Rattus norvegicus: one gene and its partners. The protein of the gene in region 3 purifies or fractionates together with the protein of the main gene of each other region. This does not show direct contact. Links are inferred from orthologs where the notes say so. Each region holds a gene or a part of one and is shown on either strand. Other genes may lie near its edges.

The links.
Region 1: the proteins of Pex5 (region 3) and Acox1 purify together in Homo sapiens (affinity purification with mass spectrometry; 3 studies listed by BioGRID, with this or other methods). This does not show direct contact. The link is inferred for Rattus norvegicus from reciprocal best matches to the Homo sapiens genes PEX5 and ACOX1.
Region 2: the proteins of Pex5 (region 3) and Pecr purify together in Homo sapiens (affinity purification with mass spectrometry; 3 studies listed by BioGRID, with this or other methods). This does not show direct contact. The link is inferred for Rattus norvegicus from reciprocal best matches to the Homo sapiens genes PEX5 and PECR.

What each region holds. Positions count from the first base shown.
Region 1 is NC_086028.1:101,913,060-101,916,703, reverse strand, and holds part of Acox1 (peroxisomal acyl-coenzyme A oxidase 1), read left to right. Parts: intron 1-1,479; coding exon 1,480-1,640; intron 1,641-2,403; coding exon 2,404-2,511; intron 2,512-2,851; coding exon 2,852-2,971; intron 2,972-3,332; coding exon 3,333-3,448; intron 3,449-3,644. UniProt on the Homo sapiens protein: Involved in the initial and rate-limiting step of peroxisomal beta-oxidation of straight-chain saturated and unsaturated very-long-chain fatty acids.
Region 2 is NC_086027.1:81,365,665-81,369,308, reverse strand, and holds part of Pecr (peroxisomal trans-2-enoyl-CoA reductase), read left to right. Parts: intron 1-1,462; coding exon 1,463-1,596; intron 1,597-2,967; coding exon 2,968-3,133; intron 3,134-3,644. UniProt on the Homo sapiens protein: Participates in chain elongation of fatty acids. Catalyzes the reduction of trans-2-enoyl-CoAs of varying chain lengths from 6:1 to 16:1, having maximum activity with 10:1 CoA. Has no 2,4-dienoyl-CoA reductase activity.
Region 3 is NC_086022.1:158,979,878-158,984,269, reverse strand, and holds the start of Pex5 (peroxisomal targeting signal 1 receptor), read left to right. Parts: upstream 1-1,536; 5' UTR 1,537-1,726; intron 1,727-1,773; exon of another isoform or gene 1,774-1,920; intron 1,921-2,259; 5' UTR 2,260-2,275; coding exon 2,276-2,422; intron 2,423-2,889; coding exon 2,890-2,925; intron 2,926-3,321; coding exon 3,322-3,454; intron 3,455-3,624; coding exon 3,625-3,756; intron 3,757-4,392.

The DNA of each region.
Region 1 (3,644 bases), on a different chromosome or scaffold from region 3:
ACTGCCATTCCTAGCATTGGCATTCTAAAAGCTTGGAGAGTTCATGAATGGAAAAGGCATCTTGGAGTTGGAGAGATAGCTCAGGGGTTAAGAGCGCTGGCTGTTCTTCCAGAGGACTTGGGTCCAATTCCCAGCACCCACATAGCAGCTCACACCCCTGACTGTTATTCCAGTTCCAAGGTCTCCGACACCTTCACACAGACACACATACAGATAAAGCACCAGTGAACATAAAATAAAAACAAATTATATATTAAAAAAAGAAAAGAAAAGAAAAAGGTGTTCAGTTTGGTTGGTTTGGTTTGGCTTTTAAAGGTAGGATTCCTCTGTGTGGCCCAAGCCAGCCCTGAACTTGAATTCTTCTGCCTCTGCCTCCTGTGTGCTGGGATTACAGACATGCATCATCACAAGCAGCTCCACTGATTGGTTTCAGTGACTACAGATTCCTAGGGAGTCGCTAATGTGTCACAAGAGTCCCCACAGACCTTTCACCCACGCTGCCTGTAGCCAGCCTTTTGGGATTTCCAGTTTCCATGTTTCTAAGAAACATGCGGATTTTGGATGTTCTCAACCCATGCTGGGCTTGAAGGTTAAGCTCGCCAACCAGAGACAGGACTCGGTTACAAACCCTTGTCCTGGTCTGCCACCATCGTTTTGATGCCATGTGGCATGTGGCTGTCCACTTTCCTTTATTCCCTGTGAAGTGGGGGAGAAGCACTGCGTCTCTTGGGAGCGGTTAGCTGGAGGCGCTTGCCCTGGAGAGGTCCAGGTGAGCGCTGCTTGTCTCCAGCCCGGCTGAGATGGAGCAGGCTGAGAGGGTGAAAGGTCTGTGCTCCAGGCTCACGTCTAATAGCATAACAGTGTACCACAGCCCGTCAGGCGCAGGTCTGTGCTCACCGGCTGTAATGGCTGTCCCTAGGAGCTGCATGTCTTTAATTGCTGCCGTTATTGGGATAAAGAGCACTGTCAGTTTTTGTGTTAATTTGCACAGTAGATCCTGGTTGAATATTTGATCTGGTGAACTTGAATGAATTAGACTGTGGGTCTGTCCTAGATATTTCCTGAATAAACAGCACCCCAGTCTAGACACTTCCCTGATTGCATCCAGGAAAACCTTAGCCGGGGTTCATTGTATCACCCAGAGAACTGCCGTGTTCTCCTGTTTCTGTCCGCCGGCACCAAAGGGCACCTTTGTGCCCGGTCAAATCTCCTTTTCAAATTTTTCATTTGCTTTCGTTTACCTGCCGGGCCAGAGTCTTACCTTCTACATGATTGAGGCTCTGCTGACATAAGAAAGACAAACATTGTCGAGAATCATAACACAGAAAAGGACAGTGCTCGCATTGTGATGAAGTGCACCTGATCAATTCGTACTCACAGTTTGTTTTTTCTCCTTCCCCGCTCTATCCGTTCACGTCTCTGATTCTTACACACCTGATGCTACCTCCCTCAAATGCCCGTCCTGGTATTTCTTCGAAGCTCTGTGCACCGAGGGCATCCTGAGCCTTTGGACCTTCACTTGGGCATGTTCCTACCCACCTTGCTTCACCAGGCCACCGCAGAGCAGCAGGAGCGCTTCTTCATGCCGGCCTGGAATTTGGAGATCACGGGCACTTATGCGCAGACAGAGATGGGTCATGGTACAGTGTGTTTAGTCTACCTTCTACAGGCCTGCCTCGGTGGGGCTGAGGTGGTGATGATTGCTGTCTGTCTGCCTTCCCCACAGTTCACTAGAGTCAGTGTTGTTGTGTTTAAACATAGGAACAGGACCCAGGCTGGCAGGGTGGCTCTGTGGTAAAGGCATTTGCTGCCGAGCCTGATGCACCCCCTTCCCAGACCCACACAGCAGGCGAAAGCTGACTCCCACACATGGCTGTGGCTCGTGTGCACGTGTGCACGTGTGGCACAAATGTACACAGAGGAAATGTAAATTTTGTTTCTGTTTTTGAGACAGGTTTCTCTGTGTAGCCCTGGCTGTCCTGGAACTTTCTTTGAAGACCAGCTGGCCTCGAACTCACAGAGATCCTCCTGCCTCTGCCTCCCAAGTGCTGGAATTAAAGGAGTGTGCCACCGCTGCCCAGTGGAAATGTAATTTTAAAAAAAGTACAAGAACTGGGTTTAAAGGGAAGCGGCCACCTCTGTCACACAGAGGAGTAGTTGCCTCTACCTTTTCTTTTGATTAGTCTCAATAAATATGGCACGTCCACTGAGCCACACTCACAAGCGACACCCAGGACACTGCTGTTGTGGCCTAGGGGTCACTGTGTGACAGGACAGTAACTGCTGTGCCCGTCACTCACAGCTTGTCTACTGCTGGTCTTTAGCCTCCTGAGGCCCGGCTGGTCTGTTTTCTTGGTCTTTTTCCTCTGTGCTGTACTGAGGCCACGTGATGTCTTTCCTTAGGAACTCATCTTCGAGGCTTGGAAACCACTGCCACATATGACCCCAAGACCCAAGAGTTCATTCTCAACAGCCCTACTGTGACTTCCATTAAGTGGTGGCCTGGGGGACGTAAGTTGGATTTTTTTTTTCTTTAAACATGTTTTGAATGTTTGTTGTTACTGCCGAACATTTTGAGGACGTATGAGATTGTGATTGAGGCAGTTTATTAAAGAGAAGAAAGGCGTGCACTGGAAAGGAAATGAGGTAAAAGGCAAAGACAGGTCCAGAACCAAAGCCTGCATTGCACCAGAGAGCCATGAAAATGAAAAATCAAAGGACAAGAGCACAAGCAAGTGCGATTCATACGTGTAATCCCAGCGCTCGGGACTTAGAGGTGGGAAGATCAGAAGGCGAGACCCTGCCTTGAGCAGGGACGCACACTTCCTGTCCCCGCTTCTTGCTTTTGCAGTTGGGAAAACTTCCAATCACGCAATAGTTCTGGCTCAGCTCATCACTCAAGGAGAGTGCTACGGGTTACATGCCTTTGTTGTCCCTATCCGTGAAATTGGGACCCACAAGCCCTTGCCAGGTAAGGATTGTTCTTTGGATATCAAGGTAAAAATTAAAACTGCAAGGGGCTGGAGAAATAGCTTAGCAGTCAAGAACGCTGGCTGATCTTCCAGAGGACCAGGGTTCTGTTCCAGCATTTACCTGGTGGCCCGAAACCAGCTGTAACTCTAGTTCCAGGGGATCCAACACCCTCTTCTGGCCTCCTGGGGCTTCAGGCATCCATGTGGTACATGGGCAAACATGCATGAAAAACACCCACGCACAAGATGACGAAAATAGGTGAACTGCAGGAGTGTAAGGCACAGTTAAGTGGGGCGGAGGGAAGCAAGGACGAGAAGCACGCATGCACGCATCACAGTGCTTCTTGTTGTCTGTGGTAGGCATCACTGTCGGGGATATCGGTCCCAAATTTGGTTATGAAGAGATGGATAACGGCTACCTGAAGATGGACAATTACCGTATTCCCAGAGAGAACATGCTGATGAAATACGCCCAGGTTTGTTGTTTGGTAGTAGATTGTTATTGGTGAAGCCGTTCTCACCGAGTATCCCAGACCAGCTAAGGCGAGGTTCAGAACAGTCCTTCTGGCCCAGTTGCAGAAGGTGATGGGCTTTTACTTCTGACAGAGACTTAGAAGCGGTTGGGATGTGTATGTGAAAATTATCACCCACTTGGTGAACCTGTGGTCTCAG
Region 2 (3,644 bases), on a different chromosome or scaffold from region 3:
ATAAATAAATAAAATATTAAAAAAAATAGTTTGATATTTCCAAACAACGTCTTAAAATTAAGACTTGGTCCTGGAAGCCTTTCTTCTTTGGCTAATGCCACTTCCCTGCCAATGCTACACTCTTTACCCAGTGAAAGATTTTGTTGGGGGTGGTGGTCAACAGATTCCCTACTCCTGGTACTGAATGCTGGGTTCCTTCCCTGGCTCCTTCTGAAGGGCTCCACCTTGTCCCTGTCCTTCCATGCACGGATCTGTGCTGGCTTGGATGAAATCCAAGCAAGACTGTAAAAATCCCCTTCATTTCTCCTCTCCCACGACTCATGTGACCATCTGCCTAGCCTCCTTGAAGTCCTCACTTCATCTCTCCCACTTCCAGAGACTTCCAGGCTGGGAATAAGTTTATTCTGTTCTGTAGTCTAGAAGCTCTCTACAGTGATCATGATACCTACAGTCTGGGGGTCTTGATTGCGTTCGTTTCCCTGCAATTAAAGAACTAAAAGGCACACAGGTAGCAGCAGAGAGAACTCACCCACCACAGGCACACAGCAGCAGATATAGAGAAAAAGATTCTACAAAGCTGAAGGAAGACACAGGAAGTGAAAAATTCCAGTCTCTTCTTGAGGGCTGGAGATTTTTTTTTTTTTAAGTCTCTGAAGAGTTTTCCTCCAATAAGTTAGAAGATGGCTGATTGGCCCACAACTATTGAGTAACTTGATCCTGCTTTGAACTTGTTGGCCCAGTCCATCAGCCAGGCCCTTCAAGCAGGAGAAAGGGCCCACAAGGCCTTTGTTTTAAGCTGCCAGACTGTTCTCACAAGTCAGTGAGGGTGAGGAAGAAGCCAGCCCAAGTTCACCACCTAGTCTTGGCGCCTCTCCTATCTGTCCATTTAACTCCCCGTCTCATAGTACTATGGTTTGTCCATAGGTCCCTTCTTGGACTTGCGTGCTCTCAGAGGTGGCTACTCATTTTTAGTCCCGTGGCATTTGACATTGAATATTTCAAAACAATTGTCCCTTCCCTGTCCTGTGTGTGTGTGCGTGTGTGTGTGTGTGTGTGTGTGTGTGTGTGTTGTCTAGCTTCTTAGTCATTTCTGTTCCTATTGCTTCAATGTGTCCAAAACCAACCTAATTCCTCTTCTACTGATACCCTTTACAGGAATACACAAAACAGTTTTTGTAGTTTAGATAGCTTTATTTATTTATTTTTATGTGTACATGTATGTGTATTTTACCTATAGGTCTGTTTATCACGTATGTGCTTGGTGCCTGTAGAGACCAGAAGTGGGTGTCAGATTTCCTGGAGCTAGAGTTACAGAGAGTTATGAGCCACTATGTGGGTGCTGGCTACTGAACCTGGGTCTTCTGGAAGAGCAGCCAGTGCTCTCAACCTTCCTTCTAGCCCCTTAGTTTGGACAGCTCTTAGAAGCATGTTTTCTTTATTCCTCTGGCTGTTTTCACCTTAGGGTGTAACGTGGTCATTGCTTCCCGGAAACTGGACAGATTAACCGCTGCTGTGGATGAACTGAGAGCCTCTCAGCCTCCCTCCAGCAGCACTCAAGTCACCGCCATACAGTGCAATATCAGGAAAGAAGAAGAGGTAAGACAAACATGGCTGCGCAGTGTGCTTACCCAGTGTCCTTTGCTGAAGCGGTGCCTGACCCCTGCTCACTAGAAGGCAGAGCCTGTAAGGACTGATGCCTGTGCTCCCAACTTACTGAGCTGGTGACCTCAGAAGGAGGGAAGCTAAGCAAAAATGTCCTCTCAGCTAGAGACCCTTTAAGGCTATGGTTTTCAACCTTGTAATCCTGTGACCCCTTCATACAGTTCCTCATGCTATGGTGACCCCCGACTATAAAGTTATTTACACTGGTACTCCACAGCTGTAATGTTGCTACAGTTATCAATCAGAATGTTGACATCTGGAATGCAGGATATCTGATATGAGATCCTGTAAAAGGGTTATTGGATGCCCTCCTCCGAAAGAGGTTGTGACCCCAGTTTGATAAACACTGCTGTAAGGCGTTTCTTAATGTTCATTTTGACCTGGTTTCATCTTTTTTTTTTTTTTTAAAGGTCGGCACTTAGAAATTAATGCCACTGAGGTTTGCTGTGCTTGGGGTTATCCGTACTCACCAGTGTGTCTTGCCATCAAAGTTAGAATCTTGGCTTATGAGTATAGTGAAAAGCTCTCAGGGAGAACTTTCCCTCGGGATGGAGACCCTCCAACTCCAAAGACCAGACCGAGACACCACAGGATGCAATCAGCAAGAGGATTTGGTTTATTGTCGGGATACACAGGCACAGGCACCTGCGGGCGCTTCAGTCACTCGGGGGACTGGCGTGCCCCACGGAACCAAGGATGGGCTTTTTATAGGATTTTGGGGAGCAGAAGCAAGCATACAGAAGCAGATGCATGGTTACAGGGATATACTTGGTGGATTCTAATGTGGCAAGGGTTCAGCCCAGGGGCAAGTTTCCTAGCTACCTTCTTGAAACATAACCACTGACTCGGCCCCCCAAGGGTTCAGCCCGGGGGCAAGTTTCCTAGTTACCTTCTTGGAACATAACGGCTGACTCGCCCCCCCCCCCCAGGGTGTGGGACCTCTCCCGGGGCTTTTCTCATTGTCAGGTGCTCAACCGCAGTCGTCCTGTTGCCAGGCCTTCAACCAAACATATCTTGCTTGGCAGCTGCTGTGTACTCAGTGTTCTAACCTTTCCCTGAACCAGTCATCTTAAGTACAGCCTTGCAAAATGGCGTTACTGCTGCTAAGCTGGGGTCTTTCATTAGCACAGTGGGAAGTTCGCACTGTGGGGTGTGGGGGTTTAGTCATTGGTGGCTTTATGTGTTTGGGTTGTAGTATTTAGAATTAGTATGCATTATATAGGAGTCTATAAACTGCATTGTATTTCTAAAACCGGGCCATGCCGCAGGATAGCGATTAAACTTTCTCTCTCAATGTTTCTTTAGGTGAATAATTTGGTCAAATCTACCTTAGCTAAATATGGGAAGATCAACTTCTTGGTGAACAACGCAGGGGGCCAGTTCATGGCTCCTGCTGAAGACATCACTGCGAAGGGATGGCAAGCTGTGATTGAAACCAACCTGACTGGCACCTTCTACATGTGCAAAGCAGGCGAGTGTCTCGAGAGCCACGAAACCCAGACGTGTCCTTAGTGGGAATCCCAGGGAAGGCTGGAGGAGATGCTAGGGACTCAGAAGCCCACACCAATAGCGTTCATTTGATATCTCCTCTCTCTCTCTCTCTCTCTCTCTCTCTCTCTCTCTCTCTCTCTCTCTCTCCCTCTCGTTTTTTGAGATGTGGTTTCCTGTGTAGCCCTGTCTCTACTGGAATGCCATCTGTAGACCAGGCTGACCTTGAAATCAGAGGTCCACCTGCTCTATCTCCCAAGAGCTAGGATCGAAGGCCTGAGCCACCACCGCGCAGCTAGCTTGTGCCTCTTTAGAAATTTATCTTTTTATTTCAGTAATATGCTCGTATGCCTGAGTATATATATGTGCACCATGGCATGCAGTCTCTTAATGAGGGGAGGATAGGCATCAGATCACTGCAGCTGCACTTTTGGATGGATGTGAGGCACCGTGTGGGTGCTGGGAACAGAGCCTGGATCCTCTGTGAGAGCTGT
Region 3 (4,392 bases):
CTATTGGCTGAGCCCTGTTGCCAACTGCTTGCATTGATTCTGACTTCCTAGATATTTGATTTTTGTGCAAGTCTTATTTGTAATAGGAGGTTGGTAATATCTTTCTCATGGGAGCATTATGAAGATTATGATTAAAAGCGTGAATGCTCACCAAGTGCTTAAAGCAACACCTGGGGGTTAGCATGCATTTCATAAGCATCGGTTATTATCACAATTACTCTCCCAAGATCGTGGCCCAGTAAATCTCTGCTAATCAGTTACTAACCTCCTAGCACAGTAGGAGGTTATGTGTGTGATGGACTTTGAGTGCTTCTGGGAGATGCTTCCCCGATGTTCAGAAATTCAAACCATCATATGCTTTCCTTAAATACTGATTTCTCCAGAGAGTCTCCTGTTTAAAGTATTTCTCTTCCAAGAAGGCATCCTCTCCTCCTTGGTGTGGTTCAGTTTATTGGTTGCTAGGTTTTTTTTCCTTACAATGGCAGCCTGGAAACAGTGGACAGGTCTGGAATTTGTGGTCAAGGAGAATGGGGGTGTGTGTTAGGGCCTCTGAAAGATATTGACAGTGTACTAAAGACAGAAACATTGCACAATATTCTGCCTTGTTCAACCATTGTAGTTATAAGGGCAATTTCTATCTTCCCAGGGATGAATTTACACAGACTGTGTTCCCCGAGGAGGGCTACCTTTGAAATCTTCAGGGCAGCAAAGAACCAAGCTTTCCCGAGGGCGCCACCTACCTGCTTCTTCTCCCGCTACCCGGGCGGGGACCGTCCTGTCTCTCTAGAACCAGTTTCCTCCTAGCCCACCTACCAGCACTCTGAACCCGTCCCCTTCCTTCCCAGGACGTCAAGAGGTCCGTTGGTCTTGGACCTAGGTGATATATCAAGGTTTGTTTTCCAGTGACCTTGAGGTTTGGCACCGGCGCCAGTTCTCTGGCAGATGGTGAAGCCTGAGGCTTAGGTTTATATTCCCTGATCAAAGGTATTCCTTGCCACGTTTTCCCAACTCGGAGCTGCGGGTAATCAGGCCATCACGACCTTGACCAGTAGGAAAGAGGAGAGAGGAGTGACTCACTTCACTCTCCCCATCCATTACCGGCTTGAGGTCTCAAAATACGTTGGACCCTATTTTAGTCACCAGAATTTGTCATCATCCGGCGCTATTTTCTTCTTTACGCAAAAATGGTAGAGGCAGGCCCCTGTCTCCTTGGAGGCTGTGACGCTGTCTTGAAGGAGCATGTTGGAAGGGGGTCAGGCCTAGGAGGCCGAAGCAGGTCACGATTTGACCTCCGAAATCCCCCGGATTTAGAGGAGGAGGAAACCCAGGAGAGAGAGCTGAACCGTGGAAAACCTTGGTTTTCCTCTAAAACCAGAGAAGCCTCTCCTAGCTCCATTCCTTTGAGTTTTCCACTAAATAAATCCCAGCATTCTAAGGACTACTGGAGGACTCCCCAAACCAACTGCCTAGGACTTCCCCTTTAAGGCTCTCGGCTCCGCCCATCACGCTGCGCAGGTTTGAGGCCCCGCCCCTTCGCCCGTTTCCGTTGAGCTGGGCCGCAGCGCCGCGGTCCAGGCCCCTTTAAGGCCGAGTCCCTCCCCCTTGCTCCCGCCCCCTCCCCTCCCCCAGCCCACCCCAGGTACTCCGGCCGGCCGGACGGTGCGACCAGCGGCGGTGATCTTTGGAGCCTAGGGGGCGCGGGTCCGGGCAAGTCCCCGCCGCTGCGGTAGCCTCGTGGGGCGGGGTCGGGGCTGGGGTGACCGGGCTGGGGGCGCGGGGCGCGGGGCACGGGGCGTGGACAGGCGCGGCGGGGGAGGGGGCTCAGGTGACACGAGCTAAGATTGAGACCCGCAGCGCCAGCCTGACCCGGGGTGCGGGTTCCGGTGTGCGGTCGGAGGCGTTCCCGCTCTCCCTTGTCCGGTTAGAGTCGGTGTCTAGTGTTTACGATGCGTTACCCGTGCTCCCCAGGGGTCCAGGCCCGTTTGTAGAGCTGCTGCTGGCGGGTGGTGTCTGAGATGCGGTCCTGACGGCTGCAGGGGTAGCCCAAGCCCTGAAAGCCATGGCTTGGAGTGGGAAGACAGGAGGACACAGCCTCCTCTTGGACGCCAGACCCAGCTGGATGGGGTCCATCCAGGGGGTGGCCCTGGAGGCCTGGCCCTTGTGGAACCGTCGTGGGCCCACCTGCTCTAGATAGGGGCTGTTGGCTTGCTTTGGGAAAGTCTGGCTCCAGGACCACAGTTCTAATCTTCTGTCCATCAGGGAGCTGGTGGTCACCATGGCAATGCGGGAGCTGGTGGAGAGCGAATGTGGGGGTGCCAACCCGCTGATGAAGCTGGCCACCCACTTCACCCAGGACAAGGCCCTTCGGCAGGAGGGACTGAGGCCTGGCCCCTGGCCTCCAGGAGCCTCAGCGGCGGAAACGGTGAGTGTTCTAGAGCAGGAGAGTCCATTCCTTCAGCCTGGATAGCTGCTTTCTCTGTTGTTAAAGTAATAGTCGCCACTCCGTAACACTGGAGTGAGCATTGTGCATCTTTACACAGACGAGGACTAGTATTTTATAGACAAAGAAGCGGAGGCTTGGGCTGGAGAAATGGCTCAGTGGTTAAGAGCACTGACTGCTCTTCCAGAGGTCCTGAGTTCAATTCCCAGCAACCACATGGTGGCTCACAACCATCTGTAATGGGATCTGATGCCCTCTTCTGGTGTGTCTGAAGACAGCTACAGTGTACTTATAGAAATAAATAAATCTTAAAAAAAAATAAAAGAAGCTGAGTCTTTGTGAAGACTCTTTCTTGACTTACCTCAGGTCACCTAAGCAGTAGAGTTAAAGTTGGGTTGTAGCCTCTGGCCTTCTCACTCTGTGTATTGCCTCTTTCCTTCCTGTCTTAGGTTTCCAAGCCTTTGGGAGTAGGCACTGAAGATGAGGTAAATAGAACAAGGTTACTTCCTGTCTTTTTCTTTTTTTGACTCATGGTGATCTTTTCTTTTCTCTTCCTTTCTTTCTTTCTTCCTTTCTTTCTTTCTTCCTTCCTTCCTTTCTTTCTTTCTTTCTTTCTTTCTTTCTTTCTTTCTTTCTTTCTTTCTTTCTTTCTACCTTTATAAGCAGTCTATGCATACTTAACTCTCTTTACCGAATGAGATTTATTTGCCAGTGTTCCCATCTACTTTTTTGGGGTATTTTTCTGTTTTCCTAATTTACGGATAGAATTTTTTTCTTTATTTATCTGTAGTTTTTGTTTTTCTGTCCGACATCAGTGGGCCCTGCCCCTGGCTGAGGCCCCTCTGATCCTAATAGTTCATCTGACCGTCTCTCTGTAACAGTTGGTGGCAGAATTCCTGCAGGACCAGAATGCAACTCTTGTATCCCGAGCCCCTCAGACCTTCAAGATGGATGACCTCTTGGCGGAGATGCAGGAGATTGAACAGTCAAACTTTCGCCAGGCTCCTCAGAGAGGTGGGTTCAGGACCTGGTGAGAAGGGAAGAGGCCAGAAGAGTTTGATTTTGCTGGTGTCGGGGGAACTGAGGTGCAGAGGAGACAAGGGAAGTGTGGTCCAGGAGTGAGCGTGAAGGAATGATAGAAACCTGCTTTCTTTGTTTCTCACTCTTCTCTTGTTTCTCATAAGCCCCTGGTGTGGCAGACTTGGCTTTGTCTGAGAATTGGGCCCAGGAGTTTCTTGCCGCTGGAGATGCTGTGGATGTAGCTCAGGATTATAACGAGACCGACTGGTCCCAAGAATTCATCGCCGAAGTCACGGGTGAGGCTCCTGGGGAGATCTGTTCTGTGCGGTGTCCTCATTCTTCTTGGGAGGGTTCGACTGCTAATGACTTACAGGTTCTTGGTTCATTTCTGTAGGATGTTAAATGTGACTTCTTAGAGCAATTGCAGGTAATCAAAACATAATAAAGAGAAATGTGGGTTTGGGTGGAGATAAAAAGAGAGAGGAAGCGGGGAGGAGAGAATGAACGAGAGCTTAGAGCTGCCTCTTTATCAGTAACTTAAGTTGAGTAGAGAGGAGCTAGAGGTTGGATGGGTGGCCCAGGAAGAGAGAAATAGTTACCACGGCATCTAGGACTCTGGCATTCAGCCGTCTTGAGTAGAATTGGGATCTGGGGAAATAGATTGTGGAGTCCAGAGCCCTGAAGTCTGGCTAGGCCACCTGAGTGTGTGTGGGCTTCTCATCTGTAGATTGAACCAACTGTGGATAGAAAATGTTTGGAAAATTTTTGTCTGTACTAAAAGTATACACACCTTTTGAGTTTCTAGACAGCATCTCTGTAGTCCAGGCTGTCCTCCAAATCCCCATGTAACTGAGATCTTCCTGCCTTAGCCTCCTGAGCTCTGGGACTACAGGTATGAACCACTGTGCCTGGCCGTGCGTGCGTGCGTGCGT